Ovis aries: one gene and its partners. The protein of the gene in region 1 interacts with the protein of each later gene in a biochemical or structural test. Links are inferred from orthologs where the notes say so. Each region holds a gene or a part of one and is shown on either strand. Other genes may lie near its edges.

Region 1 (7,496 bases):
CAGCTCTTCGCATCAGAGGGCCAAAGTATTAGAGTTTCAGCTTCAACATCAGTCCTACCAATGAACACCCAGGACTGATCTCCTTTAGGATGGACTGGTTGGATCTCCTTGCAGTCCAAGGGACTCTCAAGAGTCTTCTCCAACACCATAGTTCAAAAGCATCAATTCTTCGGTGCTCAGCTTTCTTCACAGTCCAACTCTCACATCCATACATGGCCACTGGAAAAACCATAGCCTTGACTAAATGGACCTTTGTTGGCAAAGTAATGTCTCTGCTTTTGAATATGCTGTCTAGGTTGGTCATAACTTTTCCTTCCAAGAAGTAAGCGTCTTTTAATTTCATGGCTGCAGTCACCATCCACTGTTTCTACTGTTTCCCCATCCATTTCCCATGAAGTGATGGGACCAGATGCCATGATCTTTGTTTTCTGAATGTTGAGCTTTAAGCCAACTTTTTCACTCTCCTCTTTCACTTTCATAAGAGGCTCTTTAGTTCTTCTTTACTTTCTGCCATAAGGGTGGTGTCATCTGCATATCTGAGGTTATTGATATTTCTCCCGGCAATCTTGACTCCAGCTTGTGCTTCCTTCAGCCCAACGTTTCTCATGATGTACTCTGCATATAAGTTAAATAAGCAGGGTGACAATATACAGCCTCGACGTACTCCTTTTCCTATTTGAAACCAGTCTGTTGTTCCATGTCCAGTTCTAACTGTTGCTTCCTGACCTGCATACAGGTTTCTCAAGAGACAGTTCAGGTGGTCTGGTATTCCCGTCTCTTTCAGAATTTTCCAGTTTATTGTGATCCATGCAGTCAAAGGCCTTGGCATAGTCAATAAAGCAGAAATAGATGTTTTCTGGAACTCTCTTGCTTTTTCGATGATCCAGCGGATGTTGGCAACTTGATCTCTGGTTCCTCTGCTTTTTCTAAAACCAGCTTGAACATCTGGAAGTTCACGTTTCACAAACTGCTGAAGCCTGGCTTGGAGAATTTTGAGCCATTCCTTTACTAGCATATGAGATGAGTGCAGTTGTGCGATAGTTTGAGCATTCTTTTGCAATGCCTTTCTTTGGAATTGCAATGAAAACGGACCTTTTCCAGTCCTGTGGCCATTGCTGAGTTTTCCAAATTTGCTGGCATATTGAGTGCAGCACTTTCACAGCATCATCATTTAGGATTTGAAACAGCTCAACTGGAATTCCATCACCTCCACTAGCTTTGTTCGTAGTGATACTTCCTAAGGCCCACTTGACTTCACATTCCAGGATGGCTGGCTCTAGGTGAGTGATCACATCATCCTGATTATTTGGGTCGTGAAGATCTTTTTTGTACAGTTCTTCCGTGTATTCTTGCCACCTCTTCTTAATATCTTCTGCTTCTGTTAGGGCCATACCATTTCTGTCCTTTATCGAGCCCATCTTTGCATGAAATGTTCCCTTGGTATCTCTAATTTTCTTGAAGAGATCTCTATTCTTTCCCATTCTATTGTTTTCCTCTATTTCTTTGCACTGATCACTGAGAAAGGCTTTCTTGGCTCTCCTTGCTATTCTTTGGAACTCTGCATTCAAATGGGTATATCTTTCCTTTTCCCCTTTGCTTTTCACTTCCCTTCTTTTCACAGCTATTTGTAAGGCCCCCTCAGACAGCCATTTTGCTTTTTTGCATTTCTTTTTCTTGTGGACGGTCTTGATCCCTATCTCCTGTACAGTGTCACAAATCTCCGTCCATGGCATCAGGCACTCTGTCTATCAGATCGAATCCCTTAAATCTATTTCTCACTTCCAGTGTATAGTTATAAGGGATTTCAATTAGGTCATACCTGAATGGTCTAGTAGTTTTCTCTACTTTCTTCAATTTAAATCTTTATTTGGCAATAAGGAGTTCATGATCTCAGCTACAGTCAGCTCCCAGTCTTGTTTTTGCTGACTGTATCGAGCTTCTTCATCTTTGGCTGCAAAGAATATAATCAGTCTGATTTTGGTGTTGACCATCTGGTGATGTCCATGTGTAGAATCTTCTCTTGTGTTGTTGGAATACAAAAGTAGGAAGTCAAGAAACACCTGGAGTAACAGGCAGATTTGGCCTTGGAGTACAGAACAGCAAAGGCTAGTAGAGTTCGGCCAAGAGAACACACTGGCCATAGCAAGATCATTAGGTGAAATAAAATTACTGAAGTATAGATTAGATTGGGTATTTCAGTAGAATCAGGAAAAGCCTGATGGTTTTTTCCCCCAGAGAATATAATTACTGTTTGAAATTTAAGCCAGCACTAAAGTATTATCCAAATTATTTTATGTTGAAAGTGTTGTAACATACCACCTACTCTGGTAGATAAAAAATCAAGAATGACATCCCTGTTTTGTTCCTTATATTTCTTTGGTAATTTATTTTAGCTCAAAGAAACATTATATATTGAGAACATAAAATGTTTTTCAATAGATATAATAATTTTAGAGAAAATGCATATTTGTGAAGAGTCTCAGTTATGAGGAAACAAATTGTAATTCACAAAGTTTTTAGTACTTTGGAACTATCTAAACCATCTGACTGGCTTTTTAAAAGAAAGCTAAGATAATATAGAACTAGATTGGTAGAAATAAATTAATAAGCTTAAATAAGTATCAGGTTGGCAGGTTTAGCAGTGCTTCAGCTCTTAAGCTATCAGCATAGCATACTCTTCGTTTCCTAGGAGATTGTTGTCCGAGTGATATGGCAAGACTGTTAAGGCTTTTAAAAACCTTTAACTTTTATACCAAATAGTGGTTCGCCCTTCTGTGGCAATTTGACCCAACACACTGGCAGGGTTGCTTCTCTCTCTTTTTCTCTTTCTCTCTCTCTTGCCTTTTTTTTAGTATTTATGTATTTGGCTGTGTGGGGCCTTAACTGTGGCACACAGACCGTCGACACCTCATGCAGGACCTTCCACAGGCGTGTGGGCTCTCACTGTGATGCGCGGGCTCCGCTACTCCGCAGCGTATGGGCCCTCGTTGCCCAGTTAGGGATCACACCCACATCCCCTGTATTCCAAGGCAGATTCTTAGCCACTGCGCTAGCAGGAAAGCCCCTCTCTCTTGTTTTGATAAAGGAGCTTCCCTGTGATCTGTGTTCTGCTTGCGGTTTTATCCTGTTATTTGACACGTCGCTTCCTTATTTTTCAAATGACTTTGACTTAGCAGTGGCAGCGTTTCACAGACCTTGACTGTGTGTATTAAGGCGCACATTACTGATGCAGGATGGGAAGATCAACGTGTTTTATGTCAGATACCTCAATTGTGGTTGTTTTAAACATTGCTTTGTATGCAGTTTATATACATTCACTCAGAGGGTAAGTTAGACATTCAAGTTATTAGTTGAAACAGACAAATTCCTGTTCTCTGAGTAAATATACACGTTATTAGGTGTTTTAAACAGTATTTTCTAACTACATAATTTGTTAATTAAAGGATTGCTGTAGATGTTATTACATAATTAGAAGGCATGCCATATTCTATACACCATCCCTCACATGTGATACATTCATTATTTCCTAATCTCAGTCTTCATTCCTCTTTTTCTCTGCTTTTAAAATAAAAAAATCAAAGTGATATTATTTAGTTCAGATTATGTATGAGTTAACTGTTCAAACATTTACCCTGTGAGGGAGAACCCAAGGTGGTTGTGTATTACGGAAGCACTAAACCATCTGATATCAAATTAGTGAAAATTAGTATATTAACTCAGAGAAAGCAATGGCAACCCACTCCAGTGTTCTTGCCTGGAGAATCCCAGAGACAGTGGGCCCCCGTCTATGGAGTCGCACAGAGTTGGACACGACTGAAGCGACTTAGCAGTATATTAACTGAGGCATCTGCTGCTGTTTAGACAATGAAAGCCTTTACGTGTGATGGTCTACTTCTGCTCTGCTTCTATGAGACGGTATATTCGGAGCTGTCAGTGAAGCCTTCTATGATTTTGTGTCTGTGCTGTCCAGTAGGATAGTCACTCTCCACACGTGCCTCCTGAGTACTTGAGAGGCAGCTAGTGGTGCTAAGGAATGACATTTCTAGTTTATCCGCTTTGAATTCATTTAAATTACACACGCAGCTGGTAGCTATTCTGTGGGAAAGATTAGAATATAGATCAGTTGGAGTTCAGTTCAGTCACTCAGTCGTGTCCGACTCTTTGCGACCCTATGAACCGCAGTACGCCAGGCCTCCCTGTCCGTCACCAGCTCCCAGAGTTCACTCAGACTCATGTCCATCGAGTCGGTGATGCCATCCAGCCATCTCATCCTCTGTCGTCCCCTTCTCCTGCCCCCAGTTCAAGTATTCTCAGAGTCTCATTTTATCTTTATCCAACATTTCTCCTCTGTTAAACTTTCTGATACAGTTTGCTCACCAGTAAGAAAATGGAGTTTAAAAAGAAATATTCTTTCTTTTCACTGACTAACCCCTTATGTAAGTGCTAATAGACAATGTTCTATCCAAAAGGTGATTTATAAAGGAGATAAATCAAAGGAGTGAGATATTCATAATTCAAAATGAGTGTTGCCAAGATAGTTGGGAGTTGACTGTCTTAGTAGAATTAGCTATGTAGTATTTTGGACCAGAAATGTTGCCTTTCTGTCTTGTCACTAAACTATTTTAAATGAGAGTGTGAATTATTTCTGCTGTATAACTGGTGGCTCAGACAGTAAAGAATCTGCCTGTGATGCCAGAGACCCAAGTTCGATCCCTAGGTCAGAAAGATCCCATGAGAAGCGAATGGCTAAAAAAAAAAAAAAAAAAGAAGAAGAAGAAGGGAATGGCTACCCACTCCAGTGTTCTCGCCTGGAGAATCCAAAGGACAGAGGCTACAGTCCATGGGATCACAAAGAGTCAGACACAATTGAGCGACTGACACTTTGTATCACCTATATATATATACAATAAGAGAGGTTTCAGCTGGAGGAAAAGCCCTCCATACATTTCAAAGGCTTATAGAGAAAGATATTTTTTGCAGTATATTCAGGGGATCATTGTTCTATTGCTATAAGGTTACCAAGTTTCCAGTGCCCATAAAGGTTTTGACTAAATGGGTCAAAACTCTCTACTGTGAATTTCTATAATGGTTACAGAAGTAGTCTTTTTAGAATACCTGGTTTTTATAACAAACTTTGAAATCCAAACTAAGAGTGCAAAGATTTTTTTTTCACAGCTTCCAGAAATACTTTACAGGAAAAAAATTAAAGGACGAAGCATAATTTCTAAGATTTAAAGTGATTTATGTGAAGTTGGATTAGTTCAGAAATATCTAAGGTTATACAGACAGCTACATCTATTAACCCTGTAGGTGATACAAATTAACTGATTTCTAAAGATTACTTAGGTCACTTTGGTTGCATCAGTTACTTGGTAGAATATCAGCACTACCTTTTGAGAGTTAGCAGAAATACTTGATATTTCAATTATTAAGAAGAGATTCAATATGGAGAGAATATGGGACAGTTTTGAATGTTGTCACCATTGAGGCCTAATTAACAGGAACCTTCACTGGAATACTGTGCTCAGCTTAGGGATGGATGTTTTTGTGGAACCTGGTAAATGGAATGATTGTTGATTCTTTGTCTAGAACAGTTACTGGAGCAGCACCCTCGAGTGAAGACCATAAACATTACATGAATCTTCTCTCTCTCTCCTTTCCTATTCTGTATTATTGTACAGGGCGATGTTGGGCTTGCTATGGGTAAACTGTATGGAAATGACTTCAGCCAAACTACCATCTCTCGTTTTGAAGCCTTGAACCTCAGCTTTAAGAACATGTGCAAATTAAAGCCACTTTTGGAGAAGTGGCTAAATGATGCAGGTGGGTAAATATATAAAATATATATATATTTCCCTGTTGATCATTGAAATTTTACAGGAGGGATTGTTGTATAAATGGGGATTACATTTCTTATTACATTATTGATACTACAGAATCTTAAAGCTCACTAATCTTGGGAGAATCAATATAAATTATGACTACATAAATTAGAGAGCTAATTCATTTAAATAGTCTAGTAATTACAAGGTACATAATCAGCAATAGTTTTTAGCTTTGGAACATTTCTTGTATTTGAGCCCAGAATGAGAGACAGTTGAAGGAAGTTGAAGAGGCTAAGAAGGCCTATGTATTTAAATAAACTTGAAAAACAAGTTTATTGGTTCTTCCTCCATGGATTATTATAAATTTGTTCCTGATAGTATTTCTGCTTTGTCATTAAAAGTGACCACACATTGGTATGTCTATACAATGGACTATTACTCAACCATGAAAAAGAATGAAATGTTACCATTTACAACAGCATGGCTGGACCTAGAGAATATTATATTTAGTAAATAAGTCAAACAAAGACAACTACTATATGATACCACTTATATGTGGAATCCAAAAAATAATACAAATCTGTATTCATGTAGAAACAATCACAGACATAGAAAAAAAAACTTATAGTTACCAAAAATGGGAAAGGGAGGGAGGGACATATTAGGAGTATGAGTTTAATAAATACAAAAAATACAAATTACTACTGTACATAGGTAAGCAACAAAGACCTGCTGTATTGTACAGAGAATTATATTCAACATCTTGTAATACTCTGTAGTAAAATACAATCTGAAAAAATGTATTTATAACTGAATCACTTTGCTATATACCTGAAACCAATAAAATATAGTAAATCAATTATACTTTGATTTTTAAAAAATGACTACCTTTTTATACATTTAAAAAAAATTGAGCTATTAGTTTTAACTTACATGCTTTTTGCTGCAGTTTCCCTTTGGAGATTTTGAATTTTGAGTCACAGAATCATAGACTGTTAGAGCTGTAAGGAATCATAGGGATCCCCTAGACTGTGGTTCTCATTGTAGGTGTGAACAAAATTCAGGTCTTTTGCAAAGACAAACCTATAACTCCCAGCTTTGAACAGTTCCACATATGGCCTCAGCATCTGTAATCTTACTGAGTTCCACAGGTGTGAACCTGTGGTCTGTTCCCTTCGTAGAAAATAGAGTGGAAAGAAACTCAGAGATGTCTCTGACATGCTCAGGGTCATTAAACTATTAAATGGCCGAATCTTGTTTAAACTTTAAATAGTTTAAAAATGTTTCATTGTTTGGTTTGAGGGGAAGGAGAGAAATACCAGTGAAATAAAGTGAGAGGTCATTTGCAAGATAAACGTTTAACAGTCAATAATTTCCAGGTTTTCTTCCTTTCATCCTTAGAGTTAATAAATGAAAGAGCAAGCAAAACCAAATCAGAAGAGCAGAACTCTCTCATGGAAGCTGAAGAGGTAGAGCTTAGAGTAAAGAGAGGAGCAGTCGACTACTGTGTCAGAACAAGTCAGAGCGTAGCAGGCGATCTAATGAGCCGTCCTGAGACAGGGCCAGCAAGAGCAGTGGGAAGGCCCATGGCAGCGAGCACATTCTAATACAAGTTATAGTAACCTTCCATACTTGCTGTTAGCCTGAAATATTTCGGTTGATTGTTGTTAT
Region 2 (7,496 bases), on another chromosome or scaffold:
CCCCACTGGGACAGGAGATGCTGTCTCCACTTTCCCCAGACCTTGGGGGGACAGATCACTGGGGTGTCCCCCAGGCCCACAAGTGGAAAGCTTGAGAGGACCTTAGGGGAGGGTCAGCATTTACTGGACTGGACAGCCCTGGGGACCTGTGTTCAGTCACTCTGTGGGGCCCGCAGGGAGCCACATCAGCTGGGGGTCTCGACCTCTGCACGTGCTGCCCCTCCATCCAGACACGTGGTCTGCTGAACTCCCCTCCACTCTTCAGGGGTCAGCTGGACACCTGTCCACCAAGTGCTGCCCAATGCCCACAGCAGGGCCAGGGCCTCCTCTGGGTTCCCAGAGGCCCCAGGCTTCCCCGAAGACAGCACTGACTGCTCCCAGAGGGCCCTTCCTGGCTGTGTGATGGTCACTTTCAGTGGACAGATGGCCACGGCTCGCTGACCCACAGCAAGGTGCAGATGTACACACGTCCTCTGCCCTCCTGCTGGCCTGGAGGGAGAAGGTCAGCACTGGAAGCCAGGGCCCGGTTCCAGCCCCACATGTGACCGTGGCTGAGCCCCAGACCCTCTGGGCCTCAGCTTCTCCACCCGCACACAGAGGGGTGGGCCACTGTCTCTATGGAACACGCGCCCTCATCAGGAAGGCTGGGTGGGCAGACCAAGGCCCAGGCCGGCCCCCCAGCTCACGCTGGAGCCCAGGAGGTGCCGCTCTGCGGGGTCCATGGGCACACTGCCCCTCACCAGCGCCAAGACCCCCAGCCCATCACTGCCTCTCAGCCTCAAGGCACAGATCCTGCAGGACCACTGGCCCAGCTGAGGTCTCGAGTCGTCAGCAAGAAGGCCTGGAGCCCAGGAAACAGACGAATGGATGACACGGAGATTGCAGCCTCCACAAGAGGGCAGTGCCCAGTGACGAGACAGCTGCCCAGCTCCCCCACAGGACGCGGGGTGACCAGACAGCCGCCCGGCTCCCCCACAGGACGCGGGGCGACCAGACAGCCGCCCGGCTCCCCCACAGGACGCGGGGCGACCAGACAGCCGCCCGGCTCCCCCACAGGACGCGGGGCGACCAGACAGCCGCCCGGCTCCCCCACAGGACGCGGGGCGACCAGACAGCCGCCCGGCTCCCCCATGGGATGGCTGGGGGGAAGGCACACACACCACCAGCCTGTGGGGACCGGGGAGCAGACAGTGCAAGAGGGACATGCAGACCCTCACCCCAGACAGCACCTCCCAGCCAGGAGCCCCCAAGCCTGGGCCAGGGAAGCCGAGGCCCACAGACAACAAGGGGCTGGGAGGAGCCCGCCCCAGGCCCAGGCCCCGGCCAGCAGGACAGCAGGACAGTTTCAGTGACCCCGGGGGAGCAGCCTTCATGTTCCCTGCCCCACCGCCCGACACACACCTGCTGTCGACGAAGCCTGGCCCCAGTCCTGAGGCGGAGGCCTGCAGCCCAAGTCTCTCTACTGTGAGGATCTGGGGCGCAAGGCACCCCCGCCCCATCTGCGGGAGGAAGCAGAGCCCAGGACACCCCGGCGCCCAGCATGCTTCAGCTGTCCTGATGGTGTCCAGCGCTCCCTGCCCGGCCCCCCAGCCCCGGGTCTCCTGAACCATCCTACCGAGCGGCAACAAGCAGGCCCCAGGACCGGCCTGTCCAATCTCTGGGGTTCGTTCCAGGTGGAGCCCCCACCTCCCACCGCAGCCCCCCAGAGCCCACGCACTCGTGGGCCCACCAGGACCTCGGAGAGGCTCTGATGGATGCCTGTCCCCAGTGGGGCTGGGAGCCGCCGGCAGGCAGGACCCAGGGTGTCCCTCCTGTAACCCCAGAGCCTGGCGCGAAGCTGGTGCTCAGGCAAAAGTCAGTGGGTGAGAGAACTCGGCCCCCAGGGATGTGTGCCAACGCAGCGGCAGCGGAGGCCTCTGGGGGTACTGAGCCCCGTCATCAGAACTGCGCAAAGGAGCTGCGAGCAGGGAGGGCCGCGCGCCCGGCAGGCCTACCTTCGCGCTTCATGCCCATGGCCAGGCACTTCTGGTAGCGGCAGTACTGGCAGCGGTTCCGCTGCCGCTTGTCAATCAGGCAGTCCTTGTTGTCCCGGCAGGTGTAGGTCAGGTCCTTGCGCACCGTCCGCTTGAAAAAGCCTTTGCAGCCCTCGCAGCTGTACACCCCGTAGTGCTTGCCTGCGGGCGGGGCAGCCGTGAGCGCCACGCGTGGCCTGGGATCAGGGGGCCTGGAGCCCTCATCCTCTCCAGGTCCGGGCAGGCGCCCCGGAAAGGCTCAGCCGGTCTGCCAGCGGGGCTGCTGGGCTCGGGGGGGCATGCGAGGGGCCCTTGGCCCTGGGCACAGCCCAGCTGCCCCCTGGCTCCACCGGAGCCACCCGCCCCGCCCACCATCTCCTGGACTTGGAAGCACTAGGAGGTCCAGGGTGAGCGGCTCGGAGCTCCCGCGGACCCTCGCTGGCAGGGCCGGGCTCCTGCCGCCCCCCACCCCGGCACCCCCACAGGGTCCTGCAGCCCCGCCGCGGCCCCACGGCCCCGCCCCCGGGCCCCACGGCCCCGCCCCGCCGCGGCCCCACGGCCCCGCCCCGCCGCGGCCCCACGGCCCCGCCCCCGGGCCCCACGGCCCCGCCCCGCCCCGCCCTTGGCCCCGCCCCGCCCTCGGCCCCGCCCCACCCCGCCCCCGGGGTCCAGCGCCGCGCCCCGCCCCCGGCCCCCCGCCGCCCCACCCCGGGGGTCCCGCGGCTCACCTGAGGAGCGGTCCCCGCAGATGGCACAGATGTGCTTGGTGAAGGACGCCATGTTCCCTGAGGGGTGGGCCGGCACTTTGAGGACACCATTGAGGCCCAGTGGGGGCTTGATGTCCTCGCTGCTGCTCACGGGGTTCATGGGCGAGCTGAGCTGCGGAGGGAAAGTGGGGTCGGCCCTGGCAGGCGCCACGGGGCGTCCGCGGGACAAGGAAGGCACTGCCACGCCCCGCTCCACGGAGAGAGAAACGGGGGCTCGGAGGGGGCCTCACCCACCCCCAGCCATGTGGCCCGGCAGGCCCAGCCCCAGGGAGCCCGGCAGGATGTCCGCCCCGTCGTCTTGGCCAGGCTGGAGGAGGCCGTACTGCCCCCACGGCCCCAGCTCCCACGGAACCCCAGGCTCGAAGAAGGACCCAGGAGGCCCCGGCTCCCACCCCTGCCCCTCGTCCGCCTAAGTGAGAACTGCCTGCCACCCCCGGGCACTGCCCCCAGCGGCCAGCCAGAGCTCTGGGACCCGCTGGTGTGGCCGGCGCTTTAGGGACCCCAGCCCGTGGATGGGCACCGAAGCCTGACCCCAGAGAGGAGGGAGGGGAGAGGGAGGAGACAGCACCCCTAAACACACACACACACACAGTCCTCGCACATACACACACACACACAGCCTCACCCACACACACACCCCCTCCGCCCCTCCCGCCATCCTGACGCTGCGCCAGGAGGAAGCGTGGGAAACTCACCGGTCACCGTGGCAACAGCTGCCTCGGCAGTGACACAGCAGTTTTGGTTCCGCTGCGCCCACCCCAACTCTCCCGTCAGCGCCCAGGGCCCAGGGGTGCTTCCCACCGCACCCTGCAAGCCAGCCGCGCCCCACAGGCGCCAGGGCGCCAGCCGGCAGCCCCCCAATGCCCTCACTTCTGCAAAGCCCTGACCGAGGCGGAAGTCAGGTCCTGCAGCGCCTCTGGACGGACTGCGGCCGCCGCGCTGCCCCCGGGTCGCCCTGGGCCGGGCTCCTCCTGCACACGGGAGCCTCACCCCCTTACCTCCCTGTGGGCCCTGACTCCTATCCCCCTCCTCCCAGGACAGGAGGAGCTGGTGCTCACAGAGCACTCGCGAGCACCTGCACGGGCTCTTCCAGCCCTGGACGTCTGGGCTCGCCTGCCCAGGTGGCCACCTGGTTCCGTGAGGAGACTGAAGCCCACGGGACTCAGGGGGCTGCAGGGAGGCCGGGAGGCCAGCTATGGCCATGTGGGGCTGTCAGGACACAAGGGGAGGGGCGAGGGGTGTCCAGAGGACCCCACTGGCTCAAAGAATACCCCCCACCCCCCAGCACAGTCTGCAGGCTTCAGGAGCATTTTCCGGAAGACGGTCAGCTCAGAGGGGGCTCCAGCTATTTGCCGAGTGCCATCGTGCTGGGCTGTGCCCTGTGGGAAGCCCCAAGTGAGCGGGAAGAGCCGCCCGCCCCCCTCCAGAGTGGATGCAGAGGCCAGCCAGGGGCACACAGCTTTAAGGGGTGACGCAGGTGTGAGCTCAGGCCTCTGGAGCCACAGCTCTGAGGGACTCCCTGCATGCTGAAAGAGTGTCCAGGGCCCCAGGAATAGGCCAGCCCAGAGCCGCGAGACCATCCACTGAGCACCCAGCCAGGCACCCAAGGCCACTCGCTGCCCCCTGCCCGGGTGGGGCTCGCCGGGAGGTTGGGGGGGCGGCCACAGCTGACCATGGGGGTTCTGCCCCCTTCATTCCCTGAGTGACTTTGGAGGAATTATCTAATCGCCCTGGGCCTGAGGCTTCTCGTGTAAAAACCAGAGAGACAGGAGTGCCTCCGTCCAAAGGTCGCCGTCAGGATGCTGGAGCAATCGGGGGGCCACGCTGACAGCAGAGCTCATGAGCCCAGCTCGGGGTACAGCAAGCAGCCTCTGCAGAACACTGGGGCCTCGGGGGGGCCGCCCCCAGGCCGGCCAGGCCGCGGACGACGCAAGGCAGCACCCAGCCAGAGGGAGCCGCCAAGCACATGCTCGGAGGAGGGCACGCCAAAGGACTGCTGGTAAAAGGGCAGGAGACCGGGGTGGCCGGGGTGGCCGGTCAGCAGCAGAGGCTAAGGGAGGTCCCCAGGGGCCCTGAGGACACCGGTGTGGGCCGGAGGCTGCGCCCAAGGCCTGCGAGCCCGGCCACAACCCTGAGCAGCTGGATCCGCTGGGCGGCACCCCGGAAAGGAACTCGGGCACTTCCTCTGTGTCTGTCCAAACCATGCTGGGTGGGTAGGGCCCACCTGTCCTGTCCCCAAGCCCCCCACAGGCAGGCCCTCGGGACCGGTGTCCGCCCTCCATAACCTGAGGTGGGCCTTAGCACCTGGGACGGAGCCCTCAGGCACGGTCAGCGTCAGTGGCGGCTCCGCAGCGTGCCCAGGGTGGGGGCCCGTCCCATTTCCCCTTTCGCGTCCTCAGCATTCACCTCAGTTCCCGCAGAGCCTTCAGGACTTGCTGAGATAACCACCCGGCTCCATCGGGGCCCCAGATCTCCTCCTGTCTCTCGCCGCCCCTCGTCCACGCCCACCACACCCTTCCTTTCCAGCCCTAGCCGGTGAGGCCAATCACCCCCGTCAGCATGGGGTGGGAGGCCCCTGGACCCCACTGGCCTCTGCCTGCCCGTCAAGGCCGAGGGCAAACTCCTACACGTGGCCTGGTGGATGCAGCTTCACGGCCGCAGTGCCCACAGCAAGGACAGGTAGGGCCCATGCAGGTCCTGCCCAAGGAGGCTTGTCAGGGTGGCGAGGCCAGGGCGCCAAGGTGCCCACACGTGCCCAACACTGCAGGCGAGCTCTGGGCTGAGGTGGGGAACGCCCCCTGGGTTGATGGAGCCCCTGAACCAGGGGAGAAGAGGGGCAGCTCAGGCCACAGTGCCCGCAGCCCGGCTCGGTTCTGCCCAGAGCTCCCAGCACCACCCGCATCCACTTCCCTGCAGGGCGCGGTCGAGTCGGGGGCCATCCCCGCCAGCAGCAGGAGTCAGACCGCCTCACTGGTTCCGGCCCCTTGACTTCGCGGTTGTGGTTTTGAGGCGGAGGTGGGGGGGTGCCCCCCCGAACTCCACCCACACTTCCATGAATATGGGGAACCCCAAGTTTCTAAGACAAACTGCTGAAGCCTAGAAGCTGAACTCAGGTCCCAGGGAAGGAGTTATGGGGGGCAGGGTGGTGGGGACTGAGGCCTTCCCAGGGATGGTGGCCAGAGGCTCAGCCCAGGGCTCAGATCGCGGCTAAGCTACCTGCGGCCTGACTGACCTACAGAAGGGCAGGCGGACAGCTGAGCAGTGGGTCAGCACTGAACGTCGGGGGACACACCAGCACCCCTCCACTCCCTGAGCCCCGGCATCAGGCTCGGGACCTGCGGCTCCTTGCTCACAAGCACCTGCACTCAGCAAGCACCCATCGCGTGGCGGGAGCCTCGCTGTGTGCCGGAAGCAACCTACTAGGAGAGACGAGGCCCCACACCCCCCACCCCCCAGCATCGCCCCACCCCTACCCCCGGACAGGCTAACCCCAGGCTTGGGGGCATCGCTGCCACCCTCGAGCCCTACTCCGCAGAGGCCCCACTTCAGACTCACACCCAGGCTCCTCCGCACATGAGCCCTGGGGGCATGCAGGGCAGGCACCAGGCCTGGGGGCAGCAAGGAGCTTTGCAGGCCTGAGAACCAGCAGGTGCTGCCTCTGGCCTGGTTCCCAGGGGACAGGTGCAGTCTGGGCCTCATCTGCCTCTCGCTGAGCGGCAGGCACTCTGCAGCCAGTGAGGATCCGGGCGTGGTGGCTACGCTACAAAGAACACAGCCAATCCCAGGAAGGCGGCTGAGACCCCTCGTACCAACCCTCCAGCCTTCTGTCTGCTTCTGGAAGGCCAGGGGACACAAGGGAGCATGGGCCCCCCAGGAACAAAGGGGCTGACGAGGGGACCGGGACCAGCTTTCCCAAGACCAGCTTTCCCGAGACCAGCTCCGGACAGGCCCAGCTGACAGGAAGGGGGTGGGCTCCAGACCTCAAAGGCATCTTGCCCTCCTGTGCCAGGAGTGGGGAGTCCTGGAGGCAGGGCGCCTCCCGGGTGGCAGGGAGCCCGCGGGACACGCTGACACCGTCAGCCACACTTCTCTGGGCAGGGGGGCCTGTGCTGGACTCCCTCTCGAGATGGCTGTCCTGCCCTCCCCAGGGAGACAGTTCCCAGAGCTCTTGTCACAGGCCCTCCTCTACGGGGCCTCCTTGATGGACAGGCCTTCCGCTATGGGGGGGCCTCCTCTATGGGGGGCCTCCTCTACTGTGATGGGGGTGCCTTCCTCTACTGGTGGGCCCTCCTCTACAGGGACCTCCCTCTATGGGGGCGGTGCTTTCTCTCTGGGAGGCCTCCCTCTATGGGGGGCCTCCTCTACTGGGGTGGCAGTGCCTTCCTCTATGGGGGGCCTCCCTCTGTGGGGTTGGCCTTGCTCTACTGGGACCTTCCTCCACAAAGATGACCGCTGATCCCAGACATGAATGACACTCAGCAAAGGAGAACTCAGGTCTGTCAGGAAGGACAGTTTGAGCCCCAGAAACAAGGAGAACCCTTGGTTCAAGCAGATCTCCCAGGCATTCAGCAAAACATCCCACCAGGAGACCATCAGAGCCAGGGGAGGAGATGAGCTGCTGGGGCCCTGGGCAGCTCTGTCGGGGTTCAGACAAGAAGTGCCCACACTAGGCGGGTTGGCATGAGTGGGCAGTGGACCAGGCCTCAGGGGTCCCCGA
Region 3 (7,496 bases), on another chromosome or scaffold:
AATCTGATAAGAAATAAAACACTTCAGCACAGAAAAGTCTGAGCAAATCTTTATTGAAAATGTTTCCATCTTAACAGAAAGCCCCAGGAAGAAGCTTAGATGGATGGTTACAATCAAGATATCTGACCTCAAGAAAAGAAGAAAAAAAAAAAAAAAAAACACGTCTTAAATCTTAGCAAATATGTCAAGTATTTGATTTTATTGCTTTGCTAGTTTTGCCAACTTAAACTCCCTAATAGAGGCTGCTTCTGCACCTTCTCAAAGCTTCCAATCGTAAGTGGGAAAATCTTGCATAGTGTTTTTTATAGGAAACCAGGGCTTTTGATCAAACAGGCCCGAGACTCCCTTCTCTCTTGCCTACTCACACCACTGCCAACAAAGATGGGAATTTGTTATCTAAAATGCTATTTTAACCTTTTAAATCTAAAAAAATTAAGTCTGAATAAAACAATTCAAGATATCAGTTTTGGGGACTTGAGGCAGATACCAGAAAGTTAAGTCAAAAATAAACCCAAAGCAGAAAAAAATCCAAAGAAAAAAGGCATTTTTTCTCCAAAATGTTATTTTAAATGGCGAATCTATGTCATTCCCCAGAAAAGTCCACTACTTCTATATGGCGTCCTCCAACTAATGCTAGTTTCCCATGCATACAGCCACTGTCGGGAGATGAGCATTCTGGTGGCAGCTGTGCTTGGGCCCCTGCAAATCTGATGTTTCTCCAGCAAAAAAAATAAAAACAAAAATGGAAATGAAACCTGGCAGTCCTTCTGACTGAGGCTCTAGAAGCCCCAGGAAGGTTGGTGCTTGGCGGGGAGGTCTTGACTCCACAGAAGGGTGGTCCATGGAAGTTCAAGAGGCACATTGGCCATACTCAGCCAGGACCCACGCACCATGATCTCAGTGGATCTTGGCCTGCATTCAGCCCCGCCGGGTCTGGACATGGAAAGACATATACAGTCATTCTGTTTATGAAAGCTCAGCTCTCCTTGCAAGTATCCTCAAGGAGAGCAGCAAAACCATCTATTAAAGCTATATTTTTCTGAAGTACATTCCCCTTCTTAATAACCAAGTAATTAAAGCAAATCATTCCTCAGTCCTTCTGCTCTCCCCTGCCCCCACGCCCACCCCCAAGTATGCACTCTAACTCCCCATCCCTCCTCTGTCCCCCCCCAATCGGTCCAGCCCCTACCCACTCTGATGTTCCTTCCCACCCCCCACCCTCCACCCATCACCTCGCTGAGCCCCAGGTCTTGAGACCCTGCTGCCTAGACTGCAGAGCTGGCCAAAGCTGAGAACAGCAAACAAAGGAGCAATTGTGGGAACTGACACTCAAGGCCTCCAGCGTTGGTTCTGCCCTTGGAGATGCTGGCAGGACTGGTCTTCTCACAGGGCACCCCGCCCATCTCAAAATGGCAAAGCACAGGACGTCGCTGCCTGCAGACAGCTCAGTGGGGCTGCTGCTACCGTGAAGCAGGGGGCACTGGAGAAAGGGGCCTTCTTCAGGAAGGGAACATGATAGAAGTGAAAACCCTGGGCCACAGAAATTAGGCAACACCCGGCATCAAATCTTATCTTTAAAATCCCTGATTCCTTCCCAAAAGGGAACCGAAATGGAAAAAGAAATAAGAAAGGGTGAGTGAGAAAGATGGGGAGGAATGGAAGGAGGGCAAGAGGGTGGGAGAAAGTCTGGTTCACAATTCTAGCTTAGGGTAGAAAGTGTAGTTACGAAATGGCAACTTCAAGCAGAAATGAATCGGAGGGTTTGATCCCTGGCTTATTTTTAAATCCCAGTTTCAGGGAACAGGGTGCTGAACAGGAGGCTCTTGGGGGCATCAGCGCTAAAAGCCTTCCACGGAGAGCGTGTGGTTGAGCGCGTAGGTGTCGCTATCTTCTTCCTCCAAAAGCAGCTTATCGATGGTCAGGGAACCGATGGCTCTCCTGGGGTCCTCGGCGTCCGGGAGGACTGGCTCGGGGATGGAGATCGGGAGCTGGACAAACTGGGGCCCAGGCAGGGCTGGGGCTGGAGGCTGGTACTGCAGGGTGGAGGTGGGCAGCGTGGACAGAGGCTGAGGCCATGGGAAGTAGGTGAGGGGGGCCTGGTGCTCGGGGCCCTCCAGCGGGGGCCCCACGGTGGGCGCGGCGGCACTCCTCGTCTGTGATGGAGAAGACGCAGGGTGGTTAGCAGGGGTGGAACTGCTCACCCCAGTTCTTGCGGGGATCTCTGTTTGCCTCACCTCAGCCCTGTCCTGCCATTTCACTCCAGAGGGCTCTTTCCCCTGTGCAAAGTCTCCCCCAAGGGGGAAGCCAGACAAACTTCCACATCCCCTTCTCTGTCACTCACTAGGTATATGCCCTCTTATACTTCCCCACCTGAAGCCTCTGTTTTCTCATCTGTAAAACAGATTCCCCAAAGGACTGACATCACCGGGCTGAGTGAAGAACAGATGCTTTTCCAGATTTCATTGAATATAAAATGCACCCAGATTTCAGAGATATCAAAATATGTGTGTGCAGGGGTGACATGCATCTTAAAATCAATGATAAAATAGCATATTAAACAATAAGCCCATCACACAGCATAGCAGCTGTATTGCCAAGTGGCCGCTGCTGTGCCTAGACACAAAGACTGTCCTGGCTCCACACAGCAGGTTTGGGATTCTGAGGACCCCTTGAGCTCAGCTCCACTAGCTTCCCATTACCTTATCCTCTGCTATTGCTTAGCTGGGCCCCCTGTGGCCTTTCCAGGGACCTCCAAAGGTCAGGGCCATTCTCCCAGGCGCTCTGTAAACAGTATCTTTCACCTGCATGGCAGCCATCCTACAAATCCCAGCTCAAGCTGCCAAAACCAGGACCTGGACGCCACTGATGAGGAAGGAGGTAGGAGAGGACTGTCTTTGCATGGAATGATGTGTGTGAGAGAGGCCAAAACCTCCCCCATCACCCTCTGTCCCCTGCTACATTTCCTCCAGTGGCCACTGTGTCTTGAGAACAAACTATTAGAGTCATTAGTCCTGTGTGTTCAGTCATGTCTGACTCTTTGTGGCCAACCAGGCTCCTGTGTCCATGGAATCATCCAGGCAAGAATCATGAAGCAGATTCCCGTTTCCTACTCCAGGGGATCTTCCCTACCTGGGGATCAAACCCACGTCTCTTGTGTCTCCTGCATTGGCAGGTGGATTCTTCACCACTGAGGAAGAGCTTATTTCAATCTTTTGGGACCTTGCTGCAATGCATATTCTGGTACAGGAGGTCTGATCAGACCTGGATTCTGCATGTCTAATAGGATCCCAGGTGATGCCAATGCAGCTGGTCCAAGGACCACAGTTTGAGCAGCAAGGCTTTAGGGTATTTTTCTATAGAATAATAGAGCTGGAAAGGGTCTCAGAGGACTTTTCAACCTCCCAAAAAAGCCTTATCACTTCTAGTATTTAAAAAATCCAAATGGAAATCCTGCATACACCTGGGCAGGTCAATTACCACTGCAGATATCTTGGCTCAGGGATAGAATTACATCAACCCGTCATACAGGTCTTATCTCCTGCAGATCAGAAGTGGAAATTGTTAGCTCTAACCAGCTTTGATAAGTTAATTTACAAAACGGCAAGACAAATAAATTATTTCTTAATAAATATGGTTGGTTTGATACACAGAACTTTTCAAAGCAAGAGGTGGGATTGATGAAAGGGATAAGGAAAAGAATCCCTGGTCCTGAAATGGTTGGGAACCACTGTGTCCATCACTTCCCACCCCCACCCCAGGCCTCCGATATGGAAATGAGCTGCCTGAGAGGGGTGTTGAATGAACTGCTTCCCATCCACCATCATTCAGGTCCCACCACTGGTTTGCTGAGCAGCGGGTGGGCATGGAGGGACAGGGGTCCTGCAACCCAGGCCTGGATGGTGCTTGAAGGGGAGAAGCTTCAGGATAACACTGGACCTTGAGGTAAACAGACGGGCTTGGGGGGGCAAAGCAAGTTCCATCATCATGGGTGGGCTCTGCAGTGACTCATGAGAGCCTTGCTCTGCCTCCCACAGCCTTCCTTGGACTGGTGCTAGATATGGCTGTAACCACTGGTCTTTTCCCCTCTGAACACCTGGGGGCTTCCCATTCCTTTGGTCAAACAGCCACCATTCACATAAAACTATTTCTCTTCCTTCCTCCATTCCTAGGGGAGCAAACCCTTTCTTTCCTATCCAGCACTTGAAGATAGCACTTGGTTAATGCTATTGGTCAACTTTGAGGCAATCGTAGTTAACTCATATCTATTGAGTGCTTTCTGTATTTTGGAAACCAGGCTGAGCCCAGGAAGTGTTCTAAGCAGTCTAGGTGCATCAGGCCATTGATCATGACATCAACTCTTTCGTTAGTATTCCCATTTCACAGATGAGAACATTGGGATTCAGAGCATTAAAGCACTGTGCTTGGGGTCACATAGCTAGTGAATGAAGGGGCAGAGTGTCAGACAATCTGACACCAGAGGTGGAACTCAAAAAATTACCCTGCAGGTGGGTCTCTCTCCATCAAAAGTACAGTTTTCTGAAAAGTTGTCTCATGTGTTGCTCAGCCTAGAAATTTTCTGAAAAATCCCATTATTGGGTCAATAATCACCCCCTAAATCATCTGAGTAGAAAGGAGAGGCCGGCTCTGGCAAGAGACTCCATGCAAACATCACCTGGTTCCCCATTCAGGAAAAACTGAGGTCCATCCCTGAGACTCAGCATATCTGAGGCAGCAGCGCAGATAGGGCAGACCGGCAGGCAGGTGGGCATGACAGCCCAGGGAGTACAAGGCATGACAAAGGAGGCCATCAGCCTTTCTACGGGAGACATCTGAAGTCACTGGGAGTGAAAGAAGGCCTCCCTGGGCCACTCACCCAATAATGGGGTTTGTCTGAGCAACAGGTGACACAGCTTTTGAGAAAGCCATGCTTCTGGTGGAGTGAGAACCACCTACAGGGTAGTTTTTTGAATTCTGCCTGTAGTGTCAGATCGCCTTAAGCCCCACCCTGGAGGACACGGTGGGCTTAGATGATCTGATTATCCTGGGCATCAACAGCAAGGAAGGTCAGGAGCAGGAAATCAGCCCAGGTTCTAGAAGGGTGCCCTCTGCATAAATGCCTTCATGTGACGTACCGTGACGTTGGTGATGAGCGGCTGGGAGGCATAGGTCAGCACCGAGGAGGGCCCCACGACCGTGTAGCTGGGGCACACAGGCTGCACATACATGTCAGCCGAGTAGGGGCAGCTGACAGCCTCGTGGGGCACGTACTCCGTGTAGGGTGTCCATGGGGCCAGGGGCTGGAGGGCGGCCGGGGTGGGCTGGGAGAGCCAGCCCGCACACAAGGCCCCCTCCTCCGTCACTGTGGAGGCAGAGACCTCCATGTCAAGGCAGGAAGGACCTGCAGGAAGGAAGACGTTACAGAGCTGCACGTGACACCCAGACGAGGGGCTGGGAGGAGGCCGGGGCTGCGGGGAGCTCTTACCCACTGTGGTGTAGGTCGCCAGGGGCTGGTGGGGCAGCACCACCTAGAGGGGGGAAGGAAGATGGGGTCCAGGTTTCAGCCACCTCCAGCGAGCCGTCTGCAGGAAGCTCACCCAGAGGGTCCCAGGGCAGGAAAGGAGGGGGTGAAGGGCAAGAACCCCTGTCGTTAGAACAAGCACCTGCCCCCCGACCCAACCAGCACCACCTATACTTCCCAGGGGGGTGGGTGTTTCCCCTGAGCGAGAAGGCTGTGCACTTAGGGAATCAGTCTCACCCTGTCCCAGGGGGACCCTCAAATCCTATCAGGACGTGTGAGACACCTGCTGCTCAAGTGGGATTTCTCTCCCCACTTCAAGTAACTCAGCTTCTTCTGCCCTGGGCCAGGTCTCCAGGAGCCACACCTCTGCGACATGTGGTCCTCATGCCCTCGCTGAGGAGCCCATGGAGCAAGGACATACACCCGGCCTGACCCCCTTGGACCACTCCCCACTCCCTACACGCACACACACACTCTGATCACAGCAGCCCCCTCACCGCCGTCGGTGTCACCGATGTCCCACTGTTGGCATGGCCCCGTTTCCTCCGCAGCAGCTCCTTCACCGGCTCCTTCACACGCACACCCTGGTACGGCCGGGGTGGGGCCGGGGCTTGCTCTGGAGCTGTGGCTGCAAAGAGAGCATCACTGGTACTCGTCTCCCTGTGCAGACAGCCCCCAGCCCAAGGGGCCCGCTCTCCTCCAGGGTCTGCCTGCTCACCTAAGCTGTGCTTGAAGGTGCGGGACCACACGTGACTTCCTAGGACTTTGTCCCAGGGTTAGCACCCCTCCTGCCCCAAACCCTCTAGGCTCCCCTCCACCCAGAAGATGCAGGCTCGAGCACTGCAGCGTGATCTCAACCCAATTCCCCAACCTTTTTGTACACTAAGCACCTCCTGGATCCTGTCGGGCCAGAAGCTCTGTCTAGACTCCTCTCCACCTTCTGTGAAGGTCTCCCCTCCTCATCTCTGCCAGCGATCTCCCAGGGTCAGGAGTCCCTCTCACTATTCTCAACCTCTTGAGATTCTTCCTGACCCAAGACTACTACTACAACCCTCCTCGCTGACCACCAGGGCCCACAGACTTTGCTTCATCCTACAACCTCCTCAACACTTCCAGACAGGTTAGAATTCATCATAGGGGGCAGCAGAGGATGGCATAAGAGCAGGGACTCTGAGTCAGATGCCACAGGCCTCAAAACTTGCCTCTGACACTTTCTAGCTGTGTGATCCTGGGTGAGTCACAGGCACATCTCTCTGTGCCTCTTAACTGGCAATTTCTTATCAAAGGAGTATCGTAAGGAGTCCCTGACACAGTAAATGGGAAGCGTAATACAGGCTTCCCAGGTGTTGCAGTGGTAAAGAATCCACCTGCCAATGCAGGAGACACAAGAGATGCAGGTTCAATCCTCGGGTCAGGAAGCAGCCCTGGAGAAGGAAATGACAACCTCCTTCAGTATTCTTGCCTGGAAAATTCCATGGACAGAGGAGCCTGGCAGGTTATATAGTCCATGGGGCTGCAAAGAGTCAGACACGACTGAGTGATTGAGCACACACACACACATAGTACATGCTTAATATAAAATCAGAGACAGAATTAGGGGCTTCCCTGGTGGCTCAAATGGTTAAGAATCTGCCTGCAATGCAGGAGACCCAACTTCGATCCCAGGGTCGGGAAGAAGCCCTGGAGAAGGGAAAGGCAACCCATTTCAGTATTCTTGCCTAGAGAACTCTATGGTCAGAGGAGCCTGGGTGGGCTACAGCCCATGGTGTTACTAAGAGTTGGACATGACTGAGTGACTGAACACTTTCACTTTCACAGAATTCAAATACAAGCATTCAAATAAATCTGTAGTCTATATGATAATTAATAATCCCTTTTTCGCTATGAATTTCTTATGCCCCTAGCTAGACTATAAACTTCCCAAGGTGAAATAGTATACCTTATTTCTCCATATCTTCCCAAGTAGCATGTCCATGCT
Region 4 (7,496 bases), on another chromosome or scaffold:
TGCAGTTCATAGTGCTTTCTTAGATTTGTTAAAAAAAAAAAAATACAATGCTTAGTTTCCTATATAGGATATACAAAAGCAAAAATATATATATGTATATAGTAGAAATCAACCAATCAGCCATAGTAATTTACAGCCTTTGTCTCTAACCCTCCCCCAGTCATAATCTTTACCCAACACTTCAGTCTATACATTCTGGGATCAAGAGTTCTATTCTGAATTCTTAGAAATGTCTGTTAAACTGCATTCTACATGGCACCCATAAACAGGGTGCCCGCTGGGAAGTCCCTGAAGGAAGACGATGTGGGTTGTTACTGCTCTGGGTAAAAAGTGAGACAATCAAATGATAAGCAGATACATGTGAACAGGCAACCTGAAAGGACAAGGAAATAATATTATCACTTCTCTGGGCACCCCCAACCCCACAAGGTTTGGTCATTAGAAAGTTACATAAAAGAGCAACTTGTGAAAAAAAAAATTAGAATCAATATGCCTGTCAGTTACACTAATTTCTTCCGGCAAAAAGTTCAGGAAAAGGGACTTTCAGCAATAAGCTCCTGACTCAAGGAATGTGGGTAACTTCCTGTGGAAAAGACTGAGTGACTTACTGCTGCTGGGAGACAAAAGCAGTAGCGGCTTTCGTTTTAGGGCCAAACAAGATACTGAATCTTGAGCTTCCTTGGTGAGAAGGAACTAGGACAAGTGGAAAGAACTGGATATAAATTTGCTTGTGCTAAGAGCTGGGGGTAAACCAGCATTCCATCCCAGAGAAAACCATCATCAAATAACCTGAAAGTGTGTAAGCTTCAGCATCATTAAGCTAGATTACATCTAGTAATTTCATTCCGGGGAAGACTCCATTCCTTGAAATGTTCTATCAAAACACTGCACACTCCAGTGAGTTATCTTGCCCCTTTCCTCCAGAAGATGCCTATGTACATGATTACAGATATAAAATAACATGTTCAGAGTTCTGCCTTTCAGTGGGAACAAAGGGTGTGATAAGTGGCTGGGCAGATAACTTTTACTTCAGTATTAATGCAATTTGATAAGGGGAAAGTTCCTTGCAATAGCTTCTGTGTCAAAAACACTATTAAGTCTGCAGAGAAAGAACCAAATGGAGTGAGCTTTTGTTTAAAATATTAACAGTTATTGTATTTCAGGTTAAACAACAACATAAACTTACCCAAACCCTAATTTGGATAGATTTTATATAAAATATATAGTAGAATCATGGCATCATCTATTTATAGTCAAGGTAAATAGAATTATGAGAGGAATTAGGACTCTGCTATAGATCTGGATGTTGGTTTCACTTTCAAACACAAAAATAGTTTCTTCTTTTAAAAGTGCAGTAGAATATCCCCCATTCATAATTGTAACTAGTTTAGCAAAAGCAAAGCAATGACCTCAGGAACATACCCAGGTTTTAAGATAGATTTCTAGGTAATGGGCCTGAAAGGCATTTTGATCTGAATTTGATTTATTTTCCAACAATTTCAAATATAATTTCTCATCTGTGTGTAGATATATACAAGCACGAACACACATTCACACACGGTCATACACAAACACTTCACTTTCTATCAGATTAGGGTAATTTTTTATTGCAGGTCTCTTATAGTATTGGCTAACAGAAAACCTATCCCCAATCTAACAGATTACACACATACACACAGCCATTTCCACACTTCCTCACAGTGAAAAGCTCTCTGACGAGGTACCAGAAAGTCAAGAGAGACAATGTTTTAATGGCTGGGCCTTGAGGACAACTCTGGTTGCATTTAAATCTCAGTGCCAAATGCACTAAGAGTTCCCTGCCGCTGTAATTTTTGGATCAGTCTCTTCAGGAATCAGGCCATGGAGAAAAGCAGGATGGTTTTCCCTGGTCTCCCCTATAAGCCACAGTGGTAAGACAAGATTTCTTTTTGTTCTGGGCTATCATTCCCATGATCATGAGTGCTTCCTTTCCCCTCAGGAGCCACCCTAGGAAGAGCTAAGGGGAAAGATCAAAGAACCATTGCCTTGCCACTGATCCATGCTCTGGAGTTCTGCAGAATGGAAATCCAGAACAGTCACTGGCTGACACTCCATAACAACATAATGGGAAAGCAACTACTGGAGATGTTCAAAAGAGGAAGTGTTATTTCCTTTCAGAACGTGAACTCAGAAGCCCACACATCAAAGCTTAGAGCTACCTTGGAAGACAGTTGCACAAAGGTCCAAATACTCCACTAACTCCTGAACTGAACTACTTGAGTCACTTCCACTTCTGAGCACATCATTTTCCTATTGAAAGCTCCTACCTATTATTTGACCATCTTTTCACAGTTTGCACAAACTGATCCCAGACTATAACTTTCAAAGGTCTCTTGTACAATTCCATAGAAAGACTTCTGATTCCTGATGCTTAGAGCAGCTAATGAAGAGAGAGGTGCCTTTGACTCTCCAGCACCAAAAGGGTGCCTGCGTCAGTAGTATTTTGAACACTCTCTTCACAGCTACCTCAAGCATTCGCCTGAGCTTCAAGGCTTCTCCATTCTGCTGCTGGGACTAAGGACTTTATAAAAACATGACAGAAGTGCCTCATCCAGGGACCACTACCAAAAACAAAACATGAAGTGATCAGGTGAGAGAAGGGGAGACAGAAAGGGTTGAGTCAGGGAAAGAGTGCAAGAAGCTGATCCCAAATTAAAAGACAAAATTAAGAAAAGGAAAACATTATCTATGTATATATAAACTAAAAGCAGAGCATATAAATGCTTAATCTGGTGGGAAGCCAAGACAACATCTATAGAAAATCTTGATGTGTCACAACAAGGCTCAGCCATAAGGAAATAAGGCAATATAAAAAAATGACCAAGGTATTTTGGTCACCGAATGGTCTCCTTCCTCCTCCCAGCCAACCCCTGCAAATGCATCTCTATATATCTTTTATATATATATATATAATATAGAATCTGTTTTTGTTAAAAAGTATTTCAATGATCATATATATTTATCAAGGCATGATGGCTTTAGGAAAGGGGGGGATCCATCATGGGGGAGCTGAGAAGGGAAATGCAGGAAGGGGAGGCTGGGGTAAGAAGTGTTCAGAAACTGTTTGGGGTCAAACAAATGCTCATCAAAGGTGGCACCAACAGAATTTTCACTATGTTTCCCACTTTAAGAAGGTACTGATGACACAGGTGGGTGCCAGGACCCCATCTCTTCTGTGTCCCACCCCCAATTCTTCCCACCACCACGCATTTCAATGCCTCACGGCTCACTCTCCCACGCGTCTCTTGGACCCATGCTACCTTGCATCCCAGGGTTGACGGGTATGGCCCATACGTCTCTGGCCCCAGGTGCCTGACCTCAGAAGCCATTGCCACTGATATTGATGGACTGCAGATCTGCCACCTGCATGACATTGATGCCACTGTTGGCAAGACGGGCAATACCCTCCGGACAAATGGCCTCCATGGCTACCATGTTGGTGGTAATAAGGGCTGAAGGGGTGGCAGTACCACTGCCTTCTGAACCTGCCCCACTGTCCAGGGGCAAAGTGCCCACACTCAGGGCTACACCCGGGCCTCCCTTCTTATTCTGGTGGGTCTTGATATGCTTTGACAGGTGGTCACTCCTCATGAAGCGCTTGGGACACTCAGGGCAGGCAAATTTCTTCTCACCTAGGTAAAGGAAGAGTAAGAAGATGAGACAATCACATCTTAGGAAGTAGGGATACCTTGTTCAATTCATTCCCTTCAAACTATATAAGGCAGAATAAGACTAATCTTAAAGGTGATTAAAAACAAGAAAATTCTGGTGATTATCTTTTGTCTTTTGGGGGGAAAAAAGAGTAAAGATTAGAGAGTCCTCAGAAAGGAAGAAGTATAGCAGAAAAGTAAGATAGGACCTTCAGAACCCTTATTTCTTAAGGGTTTTCAGATTAACTCCAATGCCATTTATGATCCATACATTCAATTTCAAACATAAGTTGCTCAGAAATTTTAGTTACTTCCGAGGTATATTTTGTCTTTTCATTCTGGTCCATTACTACCTCTCCCTTCCCAAGTTCCCGCTCACCTGTGTGTGTGCGTTTGTGCCTCTGTAACTCATCTGAACGTGTGAAGCGTTTCCCACAGAATGACCAGGTACACATGAAAGGCCTCTCGCCTGTATGCCAGCGCAAGTGTGCCCGTAGGTGTGAGGTCTTGCCATATACTTTGCCACAGCCTTGCATGTGACAAATGTGCTGTTTCTTCTTGCCAGGATCCCCAGAGCCCCTGGAAATGAAAACACAATTATTCTTTGTTCATTTTAGAGACAAAATTAGAGTCATAAAGTACCCACAGTAATTACTGGACCCACTCAAAACTAATCGAAGTTTTTATTTAAAAAAAAAAAAAAAGGAATCTGCCTATCAACTTAGGAGACATAGGTTCGAACCAGTTCCGGGAAGATCCCACATGCCATGGAGCAACTAAGTCCATGTGCCACCACTACTGAGCCTGTGCTCTAGAGCCCAGGGGTTGCAACTACTGAAGTCTGCGGGCCCTACAGCCCGTGCAATGCAACAAGAGAAGCCATTGCAATGAGAAGCCGGTGCACCACAACAAAGAGTAGCCCCCAATCACGACAAAAGAAAGCCCACAGAGCCATAAAGACCTAGTGTAGCTATAAATAAATAAACATCAAAATGTGCACTTAGATATGTACAGTTTACAAAAAGAAAAAAGACTTCTCAACACACACACACAAATGCCTTCATTTTATTTTATTTTATTATTTTTTTCAATTCTTTTTTTTTTTTTCATTTTATTTTTTTAAATTTGTTTATGGCATGCAGGATCTTAGTCCCTGGATCAGGGACCAAACTTGTGCCCCTTGCAGTGAACGTGCAGAGTCTTAACTACTGGACCACAAGGGAATTCCCAAAAGCCTTCACTTTTAATATCAACAGCTAAATCTTTATAGTCAATTCCAATGTGTGATGTCATTTTCAAGGTGACTTGTGAAATCTATGAGGCATTTTCCTGTATTTTTCTGGATGTTAAGTCTCAATACATGCATTTTCCATGGTAGCCACTGTGAATATGGTGATGTGGTGATATTTTTGACTGGGAACTTATTAGTGAACAAAAGGTCTCTCCATTAAGCATTTGGTGGAGAACTTTAAAACATAATATTTTACAACTACAAAGCTTTCCCTTCTCCAAAATAAAGGTCAAGAGCCAAAAGGTAAAGATTAAAAGCTGAAAAGATAGAGTACTATGAGAGACATCAGTGGAAGAAGATGGGATGGAAAAAAGTTAAAAAGGGGAAAAAAGGACCATAACTAATTCAAGGTATATTTAAAAAAAAAAAAAATTCCCTATATGGAGCAAATCCTAAGCTCCTCTCAGGAAATCAGTTCTGAAATGTTTTTGCCAAACCAATTTGTACCATGTGTGATCCATTAGTGGGCACTATGGAGATTTCCAAAAGAGATTTGCCTTGGGTTTTAACAGCACACATTAGCAGAGGAGCAGAGAAAAAAAACATAACAGAAATGAAATCATACTTAGGTGGAAGTCAGAGAATTTATTTCAAAAACTTAAATCCACTTGAAGCTTTGTGAGAGGGAAACTCTACTGTACTCAAGAGCTTTTTTTCCCCTTTTAATTAAATTTTGGGGGGTGCTATGCAACAGGCAGGATCTTAGTTCCCCGACCAGGGATTGAACCCATGTTCCCTACACTGTAAGTGTGTAATCTTAACCACTGGACCACCTGGGAAGTCCATGTACTTAAGTGTTTTTGATTCGGGTTTTTTCCATAATATAGAGTAACCTACAAAGAATTCAAACTGTTTTTTGTTTTTGTACATTTCTTATTTTTGTGCTTATTTTTTTCTTAAGTTCTTTTTTAAAAAAAAAACGTAATTTCTTTACTTTGGCTGTGCTGGCCCTTCGATGCTGTGTGGAGGTTCTCCAGCTGCAATGCGCAGGGGCTTCTCCCCAGGTGCAGAGGCTTTTCTTACTGCAGGGCACGGGGCTCAACAGCTGTGGCACCCAAGCTTAGCTGCTCTGCAGCATGTGGGGTCCACCCAGATCAAGGACTGAACTTGTGTCTCCTGCCTTGGCAGGCAGATCCTTTACCACTGAGCCACCAGGGAAACTCTGTCATATTATTATTATTATTATTTTAGTATTTATTTATTTACTCAGCTGTGTCAGGTCTTTAGCTGCGGCATGTAGGATCTTTCACTGCGACACATGGACTCTCTAGTTGTAGCGTGTAAGCACAGTTGCTTGGCAGCACGTGGGACCTTAGTTACCTGACCAGGAATCAAGCTGAGTCCCCTGCACTGCAAGGCAGATTCTTAACCACTGGATCACCAGGGAAGTCCCCTGTGCTTATTTTTAATGGGGCAAAACTTTAACAGACTTTTTTCAAAGGCAATTAGAAACCTATATGACTTTCTATTCTCTTTCAAAGTCAGTGACTTGAAGAAAAGAGAAATAACCTGGAACTCTTCAGAGATAATATTGTATAGCCAGCACATTAATGCAAAAATCTATCAGAAGTCTGTTTTGTAGGTGATATTAGATTATTTGATTGAAGAATTTTCTACCCAGAATAAGTAGTTTTATCTATTTTGAGGAAGAAAAAAAAACAAACTCATGATTTTCACACAGTCACTGTAAAATAATCATTACAGTAGGTATGTTTCCGTTTCTTTGCCAGGCTGTTTTATAAGCTATCTTGTTAAAACCATCTCACCAACAGAATTTTTTTAAAGAGTAAAAACAAACATCTCAAAACAGACATAAAGTAACACTCATTTGACCATTTGGCTCCATGTGACTTCCTTGTCTCTAACAGAAAGCAGGCATCTCTGAAGGTCCAGGGTCTAAGAGTTGATGAAAGGACCAGAGCTGGAATCAAGACCACATTCGGCCTAACCAAATGCACTATACTATCTCTGATCCCTGTGTAACCCTGCCAAGTCTTAAAGTTAAAACAAAACAAAACAAAACAAAAAAAACCACTTATTTTTCCCTCCTAATCTACTAATTTTTCATCCTACACTCTTAAAGAGACCGGCTGAATCAACTTACCTTCCTTCACTATCTTTACAGTAGGGGCAAGTGCATGCTTCCCGCCGGGTCCTCCGACCAGCTTGGGGTTGGGGATCTGGACTGTTCTCTCCTTCCTCTCCACCTGTTGGGTCATCATGTATTCCATCACCACCAGCCCCATGGAGGCCAAGCTGAGCTCCATGATCACCTGAAATTAAGAGAGTACAAGGGTCAAAGTGGGAAGGTCATCATAGCCACAGGTATCATCACAGCCACAGTGACCCTTGACTTTTACAGCACCATTTCTTCAAAACTTTGAAGTCACCTTCACTGATATTGCCTATACTTGAAATCTCAAAAATCAGCACTGCAGAGACAAAGAAACAATAAGTCTATGAAAACATGCTCAGTCTCAAATTTTAAAACACAATTCTATTTGACTTTTATGATT

The links.
Region 2: the proteins of POU2F1 (region 1) and RXRA form a complex in vitro, tested with the Homo sapiens proteins (2 studies listed by BioGRID). The link is inferred for Ovis aries from reciprocal best matches to the Homo sapiens genes POU2F1 and RXRA.
Region 3: the proteins of POU2F1 (region 1) and POU2AF1 are reported together in a solved structure, tested with the Homo sapiens proteins (2 studies listed by BioGRID, with this or other methods). The link is inferred for Ovis aries from reciprocal best matches to the Homo sapiens genes POU2F1 and POU2AF1.
Region 4: the proteins of POU2F1 (region 1) and SP1 form a complex in vitro, tested with the Homo sapiens proteins (3 studies listed by BioGRID and IntAct). The link is inferred for Ovis aries from reciprocal best matches to the Homo sapiens genes POU2F1 and SP1.

What each region holds. Positions count from the first base shown.
Region 1 is NC_056054.1:119,589,805-119,597,300, forward strand, and holds part of POU2F1 (POU domain, class 2, transcription factor 1), read left to right. Parts: intron 1-5,681; coding exon 5,682-5,823; intron 5,824-7,496. UniProt on the Homo sapiens protein: Transcription factor that binds to the octamer motif (5'-ATTTGCAT-3') and activates the promoters of the genes for some small nuclear RNAs (snRNA) and of genes such as those for histone H2B and immunoglobulins.
Region 2 is NC_056056.1:1,869,008-1,876,503, forward strand, and holds part of RXRA (retinoic acid receptor RXR-alpha), read right to left. Parts: intron 2,892-7,496; coding exon 2,741-2,891; intron 2,175-2,740; coding exon 1,995-2,174; intron 1,500-1,994; coding exon of another isoform or gene 1,402-1,499; intron 1-1,401. UniProt on the Homo sapiens protein: Receptor for retinoic acid that acts as a transcription factor.
Region 3 is NC_056068.1:21,327,376-21,334,871, forward strand, and holds the end of POU2AF1 (POU domain class 2-associating factor 1), read right to left. Parts: intron 6,943-7,496; coding exon 6,886-6,942; intron 6,147-6,885; coding exon 6,016-6,146; intron 5,526-6,015; coding exon 5,483-5,525; intron 5,399-5,482; coding exon 5,133-5,398; intron 2,154-5,132; coding exon 1,839-2,153; 3' UTR 38-1,838; downstream 1-37. UniProt on the Homo sapiens protein: Transcriptional coactivator that specifically associates with either POU2F1/OCT1 or POU2F2/OCT2. It boosts the POU2F1/OCT1 mediated promoter activity and to a lesser extent, that of POU2F2/OCT2. It recognizes the POU domains of POU2F1/OCT1 and POU2F2/OCT2.
Region 4 is NC_056056.1:133,091,908-133,099,403, forward strand, and holds part of SP1 (transcription factor Sp1), read right to left. Parts: intron 7,254-7,496; coding exon 7,085-7,253; intron 4,269-7,084; coding exon 4,069-4,268; intron 3,672-4,068; coding exon 3,358-3,671; 3' UTR 1-3,357. UniProt on the Homo sapiens protein: Transcription factor that can activate or repress transcription in response to physiological and pathological stimuli.